2 linked regions of the Anolis sagrei genome follow. The protein of the gene in region 1 interacts with the protein of each later gene in a pairwise test. Links are inferred from orthologs where the notes say so. Each region holds a gene or a part of one and is shown on either strand. Other genes may lie near its edges.

Region 1 (8,240 bases):
GCCTTCTGTAGCAATGTTGTGAATACCAATGCAAATAGTAAACTCTGTGACACAAAGCCATTTTGAAGTCAAATATACTTTCTAGCCAGTGGAGTTGCAATAGCCAAGCTACAGAAATGCTTACAATGTGATTATTCTACCCGCAGAAATAACTTTTACAGTTACCATCATCATCACTCCAATCACAACAGAATCAAGCCACAAACTGGACACATATTTGAGTATTGACCACAATCAATACTCAACCCCAACATTTTCACAGAAAGTTCCCCCAAACTCCGTACATGTGAATCAACATGTTGCCTGAGTAGGGGGAAAAAAATAAAAACCCATGCACACATACAGAGGGTGCATCTACACTGTAGAATTAATGCATTTTGAAACCACTTTGACTACCACAGCTCAATGCTATGGAATCATGAGAGACGCAGTTTGGTGAGACGCCAGTCCTCTTTGCAGAGAAGGCCAAAGATCTTGAAAAACTATGCCTTGCATGATTTTAAGCTGTAGGAGCATAAGCAGCTGAGAGGGGAAAGGAAGGGGCCTGAGGCTGTTAGGAATTCTAGGAGTTGAAGTCCAAAACATCTGGAAGGCTGAAGTTTGCCCATGCCTGGTGTAGATGCACTCGGGAAGAGGAATCAAAGCATAATTGCAGCAATTTGCTGAAGCACATGGCGGGAAAGGTACTCCAAACCCCTCTCCAAATCCCCAGCCTTCCACTGAGTCAAAGCAAGCAAGGGTGCATCTACACTGTTGAACAGATGTACTTTTAACTGCCATGCCCCAAAGCTATGGAATCCGGAGAGCTGTAGTTTGGTGATGCTCGCATCCTCTTTGTCTTGTAAAACTACAACTCACAGGATGCCACAGTGTTAACAAATAAGAAAATACACAAAAAAGTATAGAAACAAAACTTCCAATTCTGGAATATACTAAAACTATCAAATATTAGAAGAATTAGGCAGTTTAAGTGGTGTCAAAGTGCATTCATTCTACAGTGTAGCTACACCCAAGGAGAGGGCTCAAAGCAGGAATGGCAGCCTTGGGAGAAAGTGCCTCTCTGAAGCAGTCAAGCAACCAAGAGTGTGTCTACACTGAGACAAGGCAGTTCAAGTGGTGCCAAACTATACTGCATAAATTCTACAAGGTGCACCCAAGACAAGATGCACCCAGGACCTTTCCACAGAGCCCTATATCCCAGAATATCAAGACAGAAAATCCCACAATATCTGCTTTGAACTGGGTAATCGGAGTCCACACTGCCATATATTCTTGACTATGTTATTGCTGTGCGTTTCGACGCTTGTTTTATATTTTGTATTGTTTTAAATTGCTGTTGATGCACTCTAATGTGCTATGTTTTAACTCTGTTATCTGGGCTTGGCCCTATGTAACCCACCCCAGGTTCCTTCAAGGAGATGGAGGCAGGGTATAAAAATACAGTAGTAGTAGTAGTAGTAGTAGTAGTAGTAGTTATTCTTATTATTCTTATTATAAAGCAGTTCAAAGCAGATAATGTGTGATTTTATTCAGCTGTGTGGAAGAGGCCCCAGACTCGGTCGGAAACCCAAAGTCATCCCCGGGAAGCCCCTAAAGCCAAAGAAGCTGCCTAAGGGCACCTGTTCGCTCATAGGTGCCAAGCCAGGCCCCTAGAGTCCATCTTGCAAGCTCTGCTGAGGCTCACTTACTTTTCGCAATGGCAACTCCGTGTGAAAGCAACCCCTAAGTTAGATCCATGGGGAGCCAGCCGGAGAGGTCGGCCTTGCCTTAAAATGCCGCAGGGCTCATTGAGAGAAGATTCCCTTTGCCAATCCTTGCTGCTGGGTTGCCAAGGGCGTCTTCTTCTTCTGGAGCAGAAAGCAATCCTGTTGCGCCCCAAAAGCCCTCTCTTTCCCAAGGGCAAACATTCAAGGAAAGAAGGCGATTGAGTTGCCTCTAGCCCTCCCTTGTTCAAGAAGAGAGGCGGCGTCCATGCGCTTCAGATCCAAGGGGGTGAAAAAGGAAGCCTTCTTTGGCTACCAGGTGGAAAAGCAAAAGGAGAGCTGGATTGAGCTTGCAAAGTGCTCTCTGGCTCAAACTCCTCCGGCATCCACACCAATGGGAGACTGTAAACAACAGCCAGGGGAGGAAGGAAAAGGGGGGCTTCTTGTGGAAAGCTGCTTGGTCTCCTTTCTCTCTTGGTCTCCTTTCTCTCTCTCTCTTTCTGCACTTCCCTTCCTTCTTTTTTGCTTTCCTTCCAAGGCGCGTGGGGCGCCTCGCTTCCTCGACTTTCCAAGCTCCTTTTTCTTGCTTCACCGCATGGTCCCTTCGAGCTGGAGCCAGACAAAGTGCCCAAGCGATGCCTGCTGGAAGTTGAAGGGGGGAGGGAGAAGAAAGAGATCAGTAAAGAGAGCAATGGACAGGTAGAAGTCACCCTTCCATACAAAAAATATATATCCAATGACTTTGTGGCAAAGCTGCCATGTGCTTTGGAGAGGGGGACGGCTTGCTTGACAGCCTTGTGGCACCCATTGGGGATTTTGGATGGGCACCCAATGGGGATTTTGGATAGGCACCCAATGGGGATTTTGGATGGGCACCCAATGGGGATTTTGGATGGGCACCCAATGGGGATTTTGGATGGGCACCCAATGGGGATTTTGGATAGGCACCCAATGGGGATTTTGGACAGGCACCCATTTTGATTTTGGATATCTGTTCTGGAAAAGGGGGGAAACCCAGACGGTGCAAACTCTGAGCAAGGCAGAAACAGAGAGATAGCACAGACATATCACTTGGGGAGGGGGAGGTCCCAGTTAGAGCAGTGGGGGCAAAGAAAGGTCCCAGTTCGAGCACATATGAGCAAACTTGGGCCTTCCAGGTGTGTTGGACTCCAACTCCCACCATTCCTAACAGCCTCAGGCCCTTTCCTTTTCCCCCTCAGCCGCTTAAGCCTGAGGCTGTTAGGAATGGTAGGAGTTGGAGTCCAACACACCTGGAAGGCCCAAGTTTGCACACACCTACTTTAGAGCCTTGTAGTAGGGAAGGTTGAGCAAGAAGTTCCCCAAGTTTAGCCTCATTTCTGGGTTTCCCCAAGGAAACATTGAGACTTCTTTGGACCTCCCCAATTTTGAGACTTCTTAAGACCCTCTCCTGGAAGCATTCAAGCCAGAAGCTCCCAATCTTGAGCCCTGTACTGGGTGGGTTCCCTAAAGCAACCCTCCCAACCTCTTAGGCTTTGTTTAGACCTAGGCTTGGAGACTGCAGAAAGGTGAAGGTCCCCGCCAAGCGCCCCCCAATCCGAACAATAAGGCTGCTGCTCCTGCTGCTGCTGCTGCTGCGTGGAGTCTCTTTCGGGAAAGGCTCCGCCTTGGCTGCACGCTGCAAGGCTTTGGGGCTCGGCAGCCTGGGCTCGGGCAGCACCTGAGCTCCTTCCCCGAGCGGATTACCGATTGCAAAGGTGTTTCCTCCCCGAGGCGCATCCACAGCAAGCTAAATCCAAGGCGGAGAGGCACCGAGGGCAGGTCCGGTGGCGGCGATCAAGCCTTGCGAGCGGCGCTGTCCTTTTGCGTGGCTCTGTTCAGAATGAGCTCAACTCGGCACGGGAACCTTTCAGCGCCGAGCCCCCCTTTCGCCCCCTTGGTCCCGCCCCCAATGATGTCAATCTGTCACTCAGGAGGGCGGCCCGGAAAACCCGGCCTGGACTCTCCCTTGCCCGCCTCCTTCCAGTGCACACAAGAAGCGCGCGCTTCCTCGCGCTCATTCATGCCAAGGTTTGCTTACCATTCATCAGGATTTCTTCATCGCACCAGAGAAGAAGGAGAAGGAGGAGGAGGAGGAGAGAAGTAGAAGGAGAAGAAGGAAAAGAATTGGACACAATATCAAGATTTCTTCATCTCACAAGAAGAAGGAGGAGGAGGAGATAAGAAGAGAAGGAGAAGGAGAAGAAGAGGACACAATATCAGGATTTCTTCATCTCACCAGAAGAGAAGGAGGAGGAGGAGAGAAGGAGGAGGAGAAGAAGAAGAGGAAGAAGAAGAAGAAGAAGAAAAGAAGAACTGGACACAATATCAAGATTTCTTCATCTCACCAGAAGAAGGAGGAGGTGAAGAGAAGGAGGAGAAGAAGAAGAGGACACAATATCAGGATTTCTTCATCTCACCAGGAGAAGGAGGAGGAGGTGACAAGAAGAAGAGAAGAGGAAGGAGAAGGAGAAGGAGAAGAATTATTTGGCACAATATCAGGATTTCTTCATCTCACTAGAAGGAGGAGGAGGAGGAGGAGAGAAAAAGAGAAGGAGAGTAGTAGTAGTAGTAGTAGTAGTAGTAGTAGTAGTAGTGGACACAATATCAGGATGTCTTCATCTCACCAGAAGGAGGAGGAGGAGAAGAGGAGGAGGAGGAGGAGGAGGAGGAGAAGAAGAAGAATTGGACATAATATCAGGATTTCTTCATCTCACCAGAAGAAGGAGGAGGATGAGGAGAGAAGAAGAGGAGGAGAAGAAGGAAAAGAATTGGACACAATATCAGGATTTCTTCATCTCACCAGAAGAAGGAGGAGAAGATAAGAAGAGAAGGAGAAGAAGAGGACACAATATCAGGATTTCTTCATCTCACCAGAAGAAGGAGGAGGAGGTGACAAGAAAAAGAGAAGAGGAAGGAGAAGAATTATTGGGTACAATATCAGGATTTCTTCATCTCACCAGAAGAAGGAGGAGGAGGAGGAGAGAAGAAGAAGAGGAGGAGGAGGAGGAGGAGGAGGAGGAGGAAGAGAAGGAGGAGGAGGAGGAGGAGGAGGAGGAAGAAGAGGAGGAGGAGGGAAGAAGTAGAAGGAGAAGAAGAAGAAGAATTGGACACAATATCAAGATTTCTTCATCTCACCAGAAGGAGGAGGAGAAGAGAAGAAGAGAAGGAGGAGAAGAAGAGGACACAATATCAGGATTTCTTCATCTCACCAGAAGAATCAGGAGGAGGTGAGAAGAAGAAGAGAAGAGGAAGGGGAAGAATTATTGGGCACAATATCAGGATTTTTTCATCTCACCAGTAGAAAGAGGAGGAGGAGGAGAGAAGAAGAAAAGGAGGAGAAGGAGAAGAAGTAGTATTGGACACAATATCAGGATTTCTTAATCTCACCAGAAGAAGGAGGAGGAAGAGAAGAGAAGAAGAAGAAGAAGAAGAAGAAGAATTGGACACAATATTAGTATTTCTTCATCTCATCAGGAGGAGGAGGAAGGGAAGGAGAGAAGAAGAAGAGAAGAAGAAGAAGAAGAAGAGGAAGAAGAAGAAGAATTGGACACAATATCAGGATTTCTTCATCGCACCATATTGTGTCCAATTCTGGGCACCACAATTGAAGAGAGATATTGACAAGTTGGAATGTGTCCAGAGGAGGGCGACTAAAAAGATGAAGGGTCTGGAGAACAAGCCCTATTAGGAGCGGCTTAAAGAGCTGGGCATGTTTAGCCTGAAGAAGAGAAGGCTGTTGAAAATGTCCACATGCTTATGAATTTCAATGGCTTCTCTGTGTAGTCTGGCATGGTGGTTTTTAGAGTGGTCCAGCATTTCTGTGTTTTCAAGTAATATGTTGTGTCCAGGTTTGTTCTTTCACACTTGTCTCAAATGGACAAGAGTTATTTCTCCCACCCTGGACACTCCATAGATATATAAACCACTCTTGCTGAGTTTCCAACAGACCTCACAACCTCTGAAGATGCTTGCCATAGATGTGAGTGAAACATCAGGAGAGGATGCTTCTGGAACATGGCCATATAGCCTGGAAAACTCACAGCAACCTGGTGTATTCCTTGTTTCGATTATTTAGACACTGAAAGCTTTAAAGTGCCTATCCAAGAGTGACACATGACACCTTGAGGACTCTGATGCCTTCCCTGAGAGGACAATGAGCACTGAAAAAGAGGATGGATATTGTGTCGTCGAAGGATGGATATTTCTCCACTTTCAAAGTGCATGAATGCAGTTTGACACCACTTTAACTGCCATGGCTCAATGTTATGGGACCCGGGAGTTATAGTTTGACGAGGTACCAGCACTCTTTGGTAGAGGTGGCTAAGCACCTTTGCAGAACTGCAACTCCATTAATCCATTTCACACAGAGAGGGAAGTTAAAGTGGTGCCAAACTGCATTAATTCTACAATGTAGATGTACTATCGGTGTTGGGCTGTAACGGGAAGTGTATCCAACAATGCATATTAGTTTTTCTAGAGATTTGTGGTTTTAAAAGGACTGCCAAATAGTACTGCCAAATAGTACTGGTGCCTAATCAATGGGTTTAGATTGACGGTGCAATTGGTTTAACCCCTGTGTCAGCAGGACAGCTGACCGAAAGGTCGGCAGTTCAGATCTGGAGAGTGGGGTGAGCTCCCATCTGTCAGCTCCACCTTCTCATGCAGGGACATGAGAGAGTCCCCTGCGCAACGTCTCTGCAGGCAGCCAATTCTCTCACACCAGAAGTGACTTGCAGTTTCTCAAGTCTCTCCTGATGCACACACACAAAATCAAATTACATTTCCTAGGATTCCCTAGCATTGAGCCAATGCAGTGAAAGTGGGGTCAAACTACATTAATTTTCCAGCATAGATGCATCCTAGGATCAGGTTATCTGGAAAACTGATTTTACACCCACACAATCCTTAGAAAAACTATTCCACAGCCAAAGTGCCGTAAGTGTGAAAACCCTTTGCCTAATTCTCACCTGCCTCTTTTCATATCCAACCCACATAGAGGAGAGAGCCTTTGAAGAGATTCCTAAATATTAAGATAGGTAAATGTGGTGGAAATCGGTTTTCCAGATAACCTGATCCCGATCTGTTCAAGGGATTGCCAGCACTTTCAACTGGAGCCCAAAATGTGAGCCACTGCAGCTGACAAAATAAAGGCATCATATGGTTGCAGTGTCCAGCCAATAATCTTGCCGTCTTATTCTGAATCAACTGGAGCTTCTGGGGCATTCATTTGAAAAGCAAAACCACATGCAATGCATTGTAGTAGTCCAGATGGGATGTTACTTATCCGTAGTAATGTGTAGTCTGATCCTCTGAGTCCTAAATGTATTCAGAAGTCTTTAGTGCAACGTTTCTCTACCTTCCTAATACCGCGACCCCTTAATATAATTCCTCATGTTGTGGTGACCCCCAACAATAAAATTATTTTTGTTGCTACTTCATAACTGTATACTTTGCTACTGTTATGAATCGTAATGTAAATATCTGATATGCAGGATGTATTTTTATTCACTGGACCAAATTTGGCACAAATACCCGAAACGCTCAAATTTGAATACTGGTGGGGTTGGGGGGGGGGATTGATTTTGTCAGTTGTAGTTGCTAGGATTTATAGTTCACCTACAATCAAAAGCATTCTGAACTCCACCAACGATGGAATTGAACCAAACTTGGCACATGGAACTCCCATGACCAACAGAAAATACTGTGGACTCAAACAATGATGGATCTGGACTAAACTTGACAGGAATACTAAATATGCCCTAATGTGAACATTGGTGAAGTTTGGGGAAAATAGGCCTTGACATTTGGGAGTTGTAGTTGCTGGGATTTATGATTCACTTACAATCAAAATGCATTCTGAACCCCAGCAATGATAGAATTGGGCCATACTTGGTACTTGGAACTCCCCCTGACCAACAGAAAATACTGGAAGGATTTGGTGGGCATTGACCTTGAGTTCTGGAGTTGTAGTTCACCTACATCCAGGGAGAACTGTGGACTCAAACAATGATGGATCTGGACCAAGCTTGGCACGGATACTCAATATATGTGAACATTGGTGGAGTTTGGGGAAAATAGACCTTGACATTTGGGAGTTGTAGGTGCTGGAATTTATAGTTCACCTATGATCAAAGAGCATTGTGAACTCCACCAATGATAGAATTGGGCCAAACTTCCCACACAAAACCCCCATGACCAATAAAAAATACTGTATTTTCTGATGGTCTTTGGTGACCCCTCTGACACCTCCTCGTGACCCCACAAGGGGTCCCAATCCCCGGGTTGAGAATCACTGCTTTAGTGAATTATTTTGGTGGTACCAATTCTTACAGATGAGATGGCCTTTTTTAACATGATCTACCTTTGATGGCATAGCAGGCTAAACTGCTAAGCTGCAGAACTTGATGACCAGAATCCGCAGGATGGGGTGAGCTCCCATTGTTAGACCCAGCTTCTGCTAACCTAGCTGTTTGAAAACATATAAATGTTAGTAGATCAGTAGGTATCACTTCTGCG
Region 2 (8,723 bases), on another chromosome or scaffold:
AGGCTGCGGGTCACTTCGGCCGGGGAGAGGAGCGGGTGGGCCCCGTTGGGCTGGAGGAGGTAGCCCAGGAACTCCAAGAACTGCTCCTTCTCCTTGGCGGAGGTCAGCCGGTCCCAGATGGTCTCCCGCAGGCAGGCCAAGAGCAGGTTGGCCGAGGCGTCCCCCGCGTCCTGACCCTCCTGGAACCTCAGGGCCGGGAAGCAACACAAGATCTCCGCCAAGAAGAGATGTGTTCCTAAATTGGCCACCACCAAGTGGTAGATCTTCTTGACCGTCGCTTCCGGGTTGAGCACCACAAGCCGAGACACGGCAGCCACCACCCTCTGGAAGCCTTCTCCGGACACGCTCTGGATGATCTGGTTGAAGGCTACGTTGAGTTCCTCCTGGAAACCCTCCGAGAAGGCCGGCGATGCCCCGGAAAGGCCCTTCCGGCCCCACGTCGCCAAGATGCCGGAAATGACTTGGTTCTGATCGGTCAAGGGGAGTGCCGTGTAACACTCAAGGATGACTTTGGCCACGCGGGCGGCCTGCCCCTGGCTTTGGGCGTCTTGACTGCTGTTGGCCAAAGTCTGTGCCAATTTGAGGACGGTCCCGGGATCCCGGAAGAGCTCCTTGTTCTTGACAAGGCAGTCGGCCCATTCCTCGGTGAGCGCCCAGTCCTTCTCTGCCGCGAATACGGAGCACACCTCCTCGTGGCGGTCCATCCGCTTGTCGATTATGACCATGGCCACAGAGGCCACAACGTCCTTTTTGGCCTCATTGTTGCATGGCTTGAGGCTGACGCTCTTCAAGAAGTCCGCCACGAGCTCGGAGAGGCGCGCCACGGCCTTGGCCGTCTCGTCCTCCAAGTCGCCCCCCGACTCGGCATACCTCGCCAGCCGCTTCTGCAACGACGCCAAGCAATCGAGGAGCCGGTAGCTTTCGTAGCAGACCTGTTCCGGATCGTTGAGGAAATCCTGAAGCTCCGTAGACCACTCTTCCAACAAAGCGTGGAGAAAAGCCAAATCTATGAGCAAGAACGCTTTGGACGTCTGAGCCACGCTGAGCAAACTCACGCTCCGCTCAGCCTCCTTCACCTTCTCGTCCAGCTCCGATTTGCTATAGCGGTTGTCGCAGTCGCTGCACCAAAGCGTCACCACTGAAGAGACCTTCACCAAGTACGTCTTGATGGGCACTGACTCCGCGTCGCACGCCGCCAGCGACATGGACACAAGGTCCACGAGGTTGGCAAGAGCGTAACACTTCATCTTCGCCGGGCAGACGCTCCCCTGGATCAGCTTCAAACCCTCCGTTAAGATGGGAAGGACGTTCGTCTCGAGGGGGGGATGCGTCGAGGGAGGGGCGTCGCTCTTGAAGCGCTTCGGGGCCTGACCTGTGTCGTCCGGCTCCGGGAGACACTGCCGGGAGACGTTGCGGAAGAGCAAGGTCAGACGGTCTTCCTGGCCGGCCTTGTGCTTCATGATCTCCCACCACACGTCTAAGTAGAAGCGGACGTCGCGCGGAGAGGTCTCCTTGGCCACGTACGCCACCAGCGCCTCCAGTTCCCGCCGGCAAAGCGGCTCCGGAAGAACCAGGAGAAGTTCGGTGAAAAGCCGGGGCGCGTTGGCCGCCATGAAGAGCTCAAAGAGCACCGTGCGGTTGACCTCCGGGATCATGCTGCTGACGGAGAAGAAGGCGTCGTCCTTCCACCGCTGGTTCAGGGACACCGCCGGGGCCTCGGAGAAGAGCACCTTGGACCACAGGATGACCGCCGCTTTCTTCTTCCAGGCGTCCGGCTGCGGCGGGTACGACGAGTGGGAGGTGCAGATCTCTTCCAGCGCCTCCAGGATGGGCTTCCCCACCACGGGCCAGTCGGACTTGGCCAGCTCGGACAACGGCCGGGGGTGGCACAGCTGGGAGGCCAGCAGGAACCCGCCGTGCAGGACGGTCACTTCTCCGCAGATGGTCAGCGGCCCTGTTGGGACAGAGACAGACCGTTCTGTTCAAGGGAAGGATGGGCTACTCAACCCTCAGCCCGGAGATGTCTACTATATATTTATAAATTATGTTTATATATATATATAAACATATATACATATATACATATATATATATATATATGAATACCATAAAATTTATAAATATATAATATAGAAAATTGTGGATGATAATCCTTTCATATCATGGCAAACTAAATTGTATATATGTGTATATACACACACTACATGATATATAATACATATTTATGTTTCTGTATTATTATTTTATGAATTATTATATCCTTTTTAATCTCTTGACAGCTTTCCTCAATATTATTACTTACAATTATTATTGCTAATACAAAGACTGATAATGATGTTTGGTCGAAGGCTTTCATGGCCAGAATCACTGGGTTGCTGTGAGTTTTTTGGGCTGTCTGGCCATGTTCCAGAAGCATTCTCTCCTGGCATTTCATCCACATCTATGGGAGACAGCCTGGAAAACTCACAGAAACCCAATAGTAGTAGTAGTAGTCATATCCAATTTATTTATCTCTGGACTGAGACTCACAGCATTACTCTCAATGCCATGAAGATGACAACATTTTATTTAAAAATAGTGACCAACAACCTATAAATGTCAAAAAATAGAATTAAATTCCAAAATCTGTTCAAACACTTAAAAAAAAACTCCCCAAAATAATCTCAGGAGGGTAAAAAAACACCTGAAAGAAAAATAGAAACATAATAATAATAATAATAATAATAATAAATAGAAAAGGGAAAAAGTCATCATAAATAAAACATTAGAAAACATAAATAAATAATAAAAATAATAAATAGAAAACAAAAATAGAAAATTATAAAATATAAATCAATTAATAATAATAAATAGAAAAGAAAAATTAGAAAATATAAATCAATGAATAATAATAAATAGAAAAGGAAAAAAGTGATCATAAATAGAAAAATAGAAAACATAAACGAATAATAATAAATAGAAAAGAAAAAATAGAAAATTAGAAAATATAAATAAATCAATGAATAATAATAAAGGAAAAAAGTGATCATAAATAAAAAATAGAAAACATAAATAATAATAATAAATAGAAAAGAAAAAATAGAAAATTAGAAAATATAAATAAATAAATGAATAATAATAAATAGAAAGGGGAAAAAGTGATCATAAATAGAAATTTAGAAAACATGAATAAATGAATAATAATAATAAATAGAAAAGGAAAAAGTGATCATAAATAGAAAAATAGAAAACATAAATATATAATAATAATAAATAGAAAAGGAAAATTAGAAAATATAAAAGAATAATAATAGTAATAATAAATAGAAAAAGAAAAAGCTGATCCTAAATTAGAAAACATAAATAAAAAATAATTAAACAAAAATTGATAAAATAATAAATAATAGAAAAAAGTAGGAAATACAGAATGACAAACAAATAATGGAAAATAAACCAAGAGACAGGAAACATAATAATAAAATAATTAGTAATAATAAAAAAGTAAGTAGAAGAAAATAAGTAGAAAATAGTAAATAAAAAATTAAATACAAATAGGAAACTATGAATGGAAAAAAAGGACATAAATAATAGAAAATAAAATTACTGGGCATGAAAATGAAAAAAGTAGTAGAAAAGCAAAAATAAAATAAATAGAAAATGAAATATTTCTGTGGCCCTTGGCGAACTACATCTCCCACCCACCGAGCTGCATGGCTGCCTCTCTCCTTCCCCCTCTTCCGGGCCGGAAGCGGAAGTGTGGCAGGGGAGGAGGAAGAGGCGGGCATTGTGCGCTCAGCCCGCGCGGCACAAAAGCCCCGGATGGGAGAGACCTTTTTGTCCCCTGGCGGCTGCAGTGGAAAGCGCGCGGCTCCGCCTGACGCCACACTTCCGCCCTCTTCCCGCTCCCCTTCTTGCCCTTCTTCCGGCGCCGAGACGGGGTTCCGCAAAGCCAAGTTCCGCCGGAAGAGCTTCCTCTGCCGCCTCCTCCGAGACACCGCCCCCCGCCCGGACAACGCCACGCCCCTTCCGGCCTACACTGCATGGTCGGCCTACTCTATGATCATTACTATCGTTATTATTAGATTCTTATATTAATATATTTTATATATTATAAATTATATATTATAATATATGATGATAATATTAGTAATTATATTGTTTGAATATATATTCTTATATTAATATATTATACTCTTATAATACATATTATACTTATATTATATTAATAATATAATATTAATTATATTATACTATAATTAGTAATTATATAACATTAATATATATTCTTATATTAATATATTATACTCTTATAATATATATTATATTATATTAATAATATAATATTATTAATATAATTATATTAATTATATTAATATAATATAATTGGTAATTATATTACATTAATATATATTCTTATATTAATATATTATAATATATATTATACATATATTATACTTATATTATACTCTTATAATATTATACTCATATATGTATTCTTATATTAATATATTATACTCTATTATAAATTATATATATTATATTTGATGATAATATAATAAAACAAATTATTTTATTATATTAAGATATAATAGGGTATTGTTCTACTACTATTATTATTATTGGTATATATTATTTTATATTGCAGTATTATAATACCAATTATTATATTATTATTTTATATTACATTGTTATTATTTTATATCCATTGTTATTAAATATATATTATTGCATTATTATTATAATATGAATTGTTATATTATTATTATTTTGTATTACATTATTAAATCAATTGTTGTTTCTATATATATTATTATATCAAATATTCTTGATCCCAGCAGGGATTCTTCTATTATTATTATTAAAAATATTCATAGTCTCAGCAGGAATCATTTTATATTATTATTATTATTATTATTACTACTACTATTATTATTATTCTATCAAATATTCCGATCCCAGCAGGGATTCTTCTATTATTATAATAATTATATTAATACAATCATAATGAGAAGAATGACAATAATGTTCAGTATAATATACTGGTAGTGTATTTTACATGTTGTGGCATAATAATATAGTACACTATAATGCTATAATAATTGTATATTATATATTACATGCAATATTTCTAATAATATTACAGTACAGTGGAATTGTTTAATATAGTAACATATAATACTAATATTGTGGTATGATAATAATATAATTTACTAAAATGTAATACAATAAATAATACAATACAATAATATATTACAGCATAGCAGTATAGTTTAATATAGTAACATATAACACTAATATTGTGCTATGCTAATAATATAATGTAATACAGTATACTAATTATATAATATATAATAATATATTACAGTCCTCAGTCCTGTCAGCACAAGGGTTTAACCCACTGCACCATGGGGGCTCCTGTTATCAATTCTAACTGAATATATATAGTTTAATATAGTAACATAGAATACTAATATTGTGCTATGCTAATAAGATAATATACTAAATCGTAAGACAATATACTAATAATACAATATAATAATATATTACAGTATAGTGGTAGTTTAATATAGTAACATAGAATACTAATATTGTGCTATGCTAATAAGATAATATACTAAAACGTAAGACAATATACTAATAATACAATATAATAATATATTACAGTATAGTGGTATCGTTTAGTATAGTAACATATAATACTAATATTGTGGTATGCTAATAATATAATATACTAAAATATAATACAATATACTAATAATATATAATAATATATTACAGTATAGTGGTATCGTTTAGTATAGTAACATATAATACTAATATTGTGCTATGCTAATAAGATAATATACTAAAATGTAATACAATATACTAATAATATATAATAATATATTACAGTATAGCAGTATAGTTTAATATAGTAACATATAATACTAATATTGTTCTATGCTAATAATATACTAAAATGTAATACAATATACTAACAATATATTAATATATTACAGTATAGCGGTATAGTTTAATATAGAAACATATAATACTAATATTGTGCTATGCTAATAATATACTAAAATGTAATACAATATACTAATTATATAATATATAATAATATATTACAGTATAGCAGTATACTAAGACAATATACTTATTATATAATATATTATAATACTAATAATTCCTCCTCCTCCTCCTCTTCCTGCAGGGACAGCCCCTTCCGCCCGGGCCCCCTCCTGATCTCCCGGCGCTCGCTCTGCTCGGGGCGCAAAGAGGGGGCCCTGCTCACCGCCTGCCTCCGCCTCCGCCTGCGCAAGCCCCTCCCTTGGAGCCACCAGTGAGGGCATGATGGGCCTTGTAGTCTGGCCCCAGAAGGAAGGCGGAAGGGCCCAGGGGGGACAAGGAGCGAAGCCCACCTCTCCTGCTCCTGGACATTAAACCCCCCCACTCTTTGAGAAAGGAAGGCAACCTTGAGTGTCTTGGTCTATCTGTGTTCCTTCAGGGGACTCCCGAGTCCCATCGTCCCGTCTCGGGGGCCACCAGTGGGGCGCTAGGATGGATCTAGGCCAGTGGTTCTCAACCTGAGGGTCCCCCAATGTTTTGTCTTTCAACTGGTACACGAGGCTAGGATGATGCTTGTGCAATCCGGGCAAACTGCAATCTGTTTCGGCGTCCCGGATTTCAATGGGGGTCCCGGTCTGTTTTTTGAGAGCTCCCCAAATTCGGAAGGGGGTTTTTACCCAGGAAGTTGAAAGACTCCTTTATATATTACTAGCCGTCCCCTGCCATGCGTTGCTGTGGCCCAGTCTGTATATATGTGTTTTGTGTGTGTGTATATATGTGTGTGTATATTTGTGTATCTGTGTATATATGCGTGTTTGTGTGTGTATATTATAGATAGATAGACGGATAGATAAATACAGATAGATATGTGTGTGGAGGTGTATAGGTGTGCATATATTTGTGTATCTGTGTATATGTGTATATTTGTGTGTGTATATAGATAGATAGATGGATAGATAAATTCAGATAAGATATGTGTGTGGAGGGGTATGTGTGGGTGTATATATGTGTGTGCGTAGATGTGTATATTGTATATATGTGTTTATATGTGTGTATATATTTGTGTATCTGTGTATATGTGTGTGTGTGTATAGATAGATATAGATATATATATGTGGGGGGTATGTGTGGGTGTATATATGTGTGTGCATAGATGTGTGTATATGTGTGTACATTTATATGTGTATATTGTGTATATGTGTGTGCATGTGTATATTTGTGTGTGCATGTATATATGTGTATATGGAGATGTATGTGTGTATATTTCTGTGTGCTTGTGTGTATATAAATAATATACATATACAAGTTTGTGTATGTATGTGTGCATGTGTATATGAGTGTATGTGTATATATATGTGTGTGTATATATGTGTGTGTGTGTGTATGTGTGTGTGTGTGTGTGTGTGTATATATATATATATATATATATATATATATATATATATATGGTGTATTTTTGGGGGTTTTTAAGTCCGTTCTGCTGAGGGTTTTTGTATTTTTAGGAGTGATCAACACTCATTGGACTGTTAGGTGTATTCTGTCAAAATTTTGTGTGAATTCGTCCAGTGGTTTTGGAGTTCTGTTAATCCCACAAACAAACATGACATTTTTATTTATATAGACAGAATAATAATAGTTTTTGTGTAATATATATTATCATATAACATAGAATTAAATAATAATAATAATAATAATAATAATAATAATAATAATAATAATATTTTCTTCTTCACGGGAAATTATTTATTTGGAGGAAAAGAAACCCAGAATGAAACCCAAGGCAATACATTGATTTGGCAAACACCAGACGGAGGGCACCGGACTCTGAAGCCTTCGAACCAACGCCGAATAGATGGCGCTTGCATTCGAGGCGGAAGGCATCCACTGGAATGTATTTCCAAGCAGCCATACATGGCTTTTCCTTTCAGGCAGAAGGTTTAGGGATGTTGTGCTTTGCAAACCACTCCTGGCTTTTGTCGGCTGCCATACTCTACGGAAAGAGAAAGACTATTCTTATTATTATTCAGTCTCCATGCCAAACACCTCCTATAATAATAATAATAATAATAATAATAATAATAATAATAAACAACTTTATTTATATTCAGTCCTATCTCCCCGAGGGGACTCAGGGCGGATTACAGTACACATATACGGCAAACGAATCGACAGCATGTCCTTATGGGCGCCTTTGATTACCTCCCCGCCAAAGCGGTACCTATTTATCTACTCACATTGCTGTTTTTGAACTGCTAGGTGAGCAGAAGCTGGGCTGACACTTGGGAGCTCACCCCAACCCAGGCTTGAATTGTTGGCCTGGCAATCGGCAGGATTTTCTGCAGCTGGAAGTTTAACCCGCTGTGCTAAAGCCCAGCCCATTATAATAATAATAATGATGATTATTATTATTATTATTATTTCTCCATGCTAAACACCTTCTATTATTATTATTATTATTATTATTATTATTATCATTAATCTCCATGTCAAAGACCTATTATTATTATTTTCTCTCCATGCTAAAAACCTATTATTATTCAAACTACATGCCACATTATTATTATTATTCATTCTCTATGCAAAGTTTCTATTATTATTATTTTATTATTATTATTATTATTATTCATGCTAAACACCTATTATTATTATTATTCCATGCTAAAAACCTATAATAATAATAATAATAATAATGT

The links.
Region 2: the proteins of SPRY1 (region 1) and GEMIN4 interact in binary tests that used the Homo sapiens proteins (3 or more experiments, as listed by UniProt). The link is inferred for Anolis sagrei from reciprocal best matches to the Homo sapiens genes SPRY1 and GEMIN4.

What each region holds. Positions count from the first base shown.
Region 1 is NC_090025.1:37,236,890-37,245,129, reverse strand, and holds the start of SPRY1 (protein sprouty homolog 1), read right to left. Parts: upstream 3,606-8,240; 5' UTR 3,429-3,605; intron 2,346-3,428; exon of another isoform or gene 2,343-2,345; 5' UTR 1,689-2,342; intron 1-1,688. UniProt on the Homo sapiens protein: Inhibits fibroblast growth factor (FGF)-induced retinal lens fiber differentiation, probably by inhibiting FGF-mediated phosphorylation of ERK1/2. Inhibits TGFB-induced epithelial-to-mesenchymal transition in lens epithelial cells.
Region 2 is NC_090031.1:35,278,878-35,287,600, forward strand, and holds the start of GEMIN4 (gem-associated protein 4), read right to left. Parts: upstream 3,774-8,723; 5' UTR 3,692-3,773; coding exon 3,682-3,691; intron 1,955-3,681; coding exon 1-1,954. Other genes in the region: GLOD4 (glyoxalase domain-containing protein 4), read right to left, coding at 7,955-8,020. UniProt on the Homo sapiens protein: The SMN complex catalyzes the assembly of small nuclear ribonucleoproteins (snRNPs), the building blocks of the spliceosome, and thereby plays an important role in the splicing of cellular pre-mRNAs.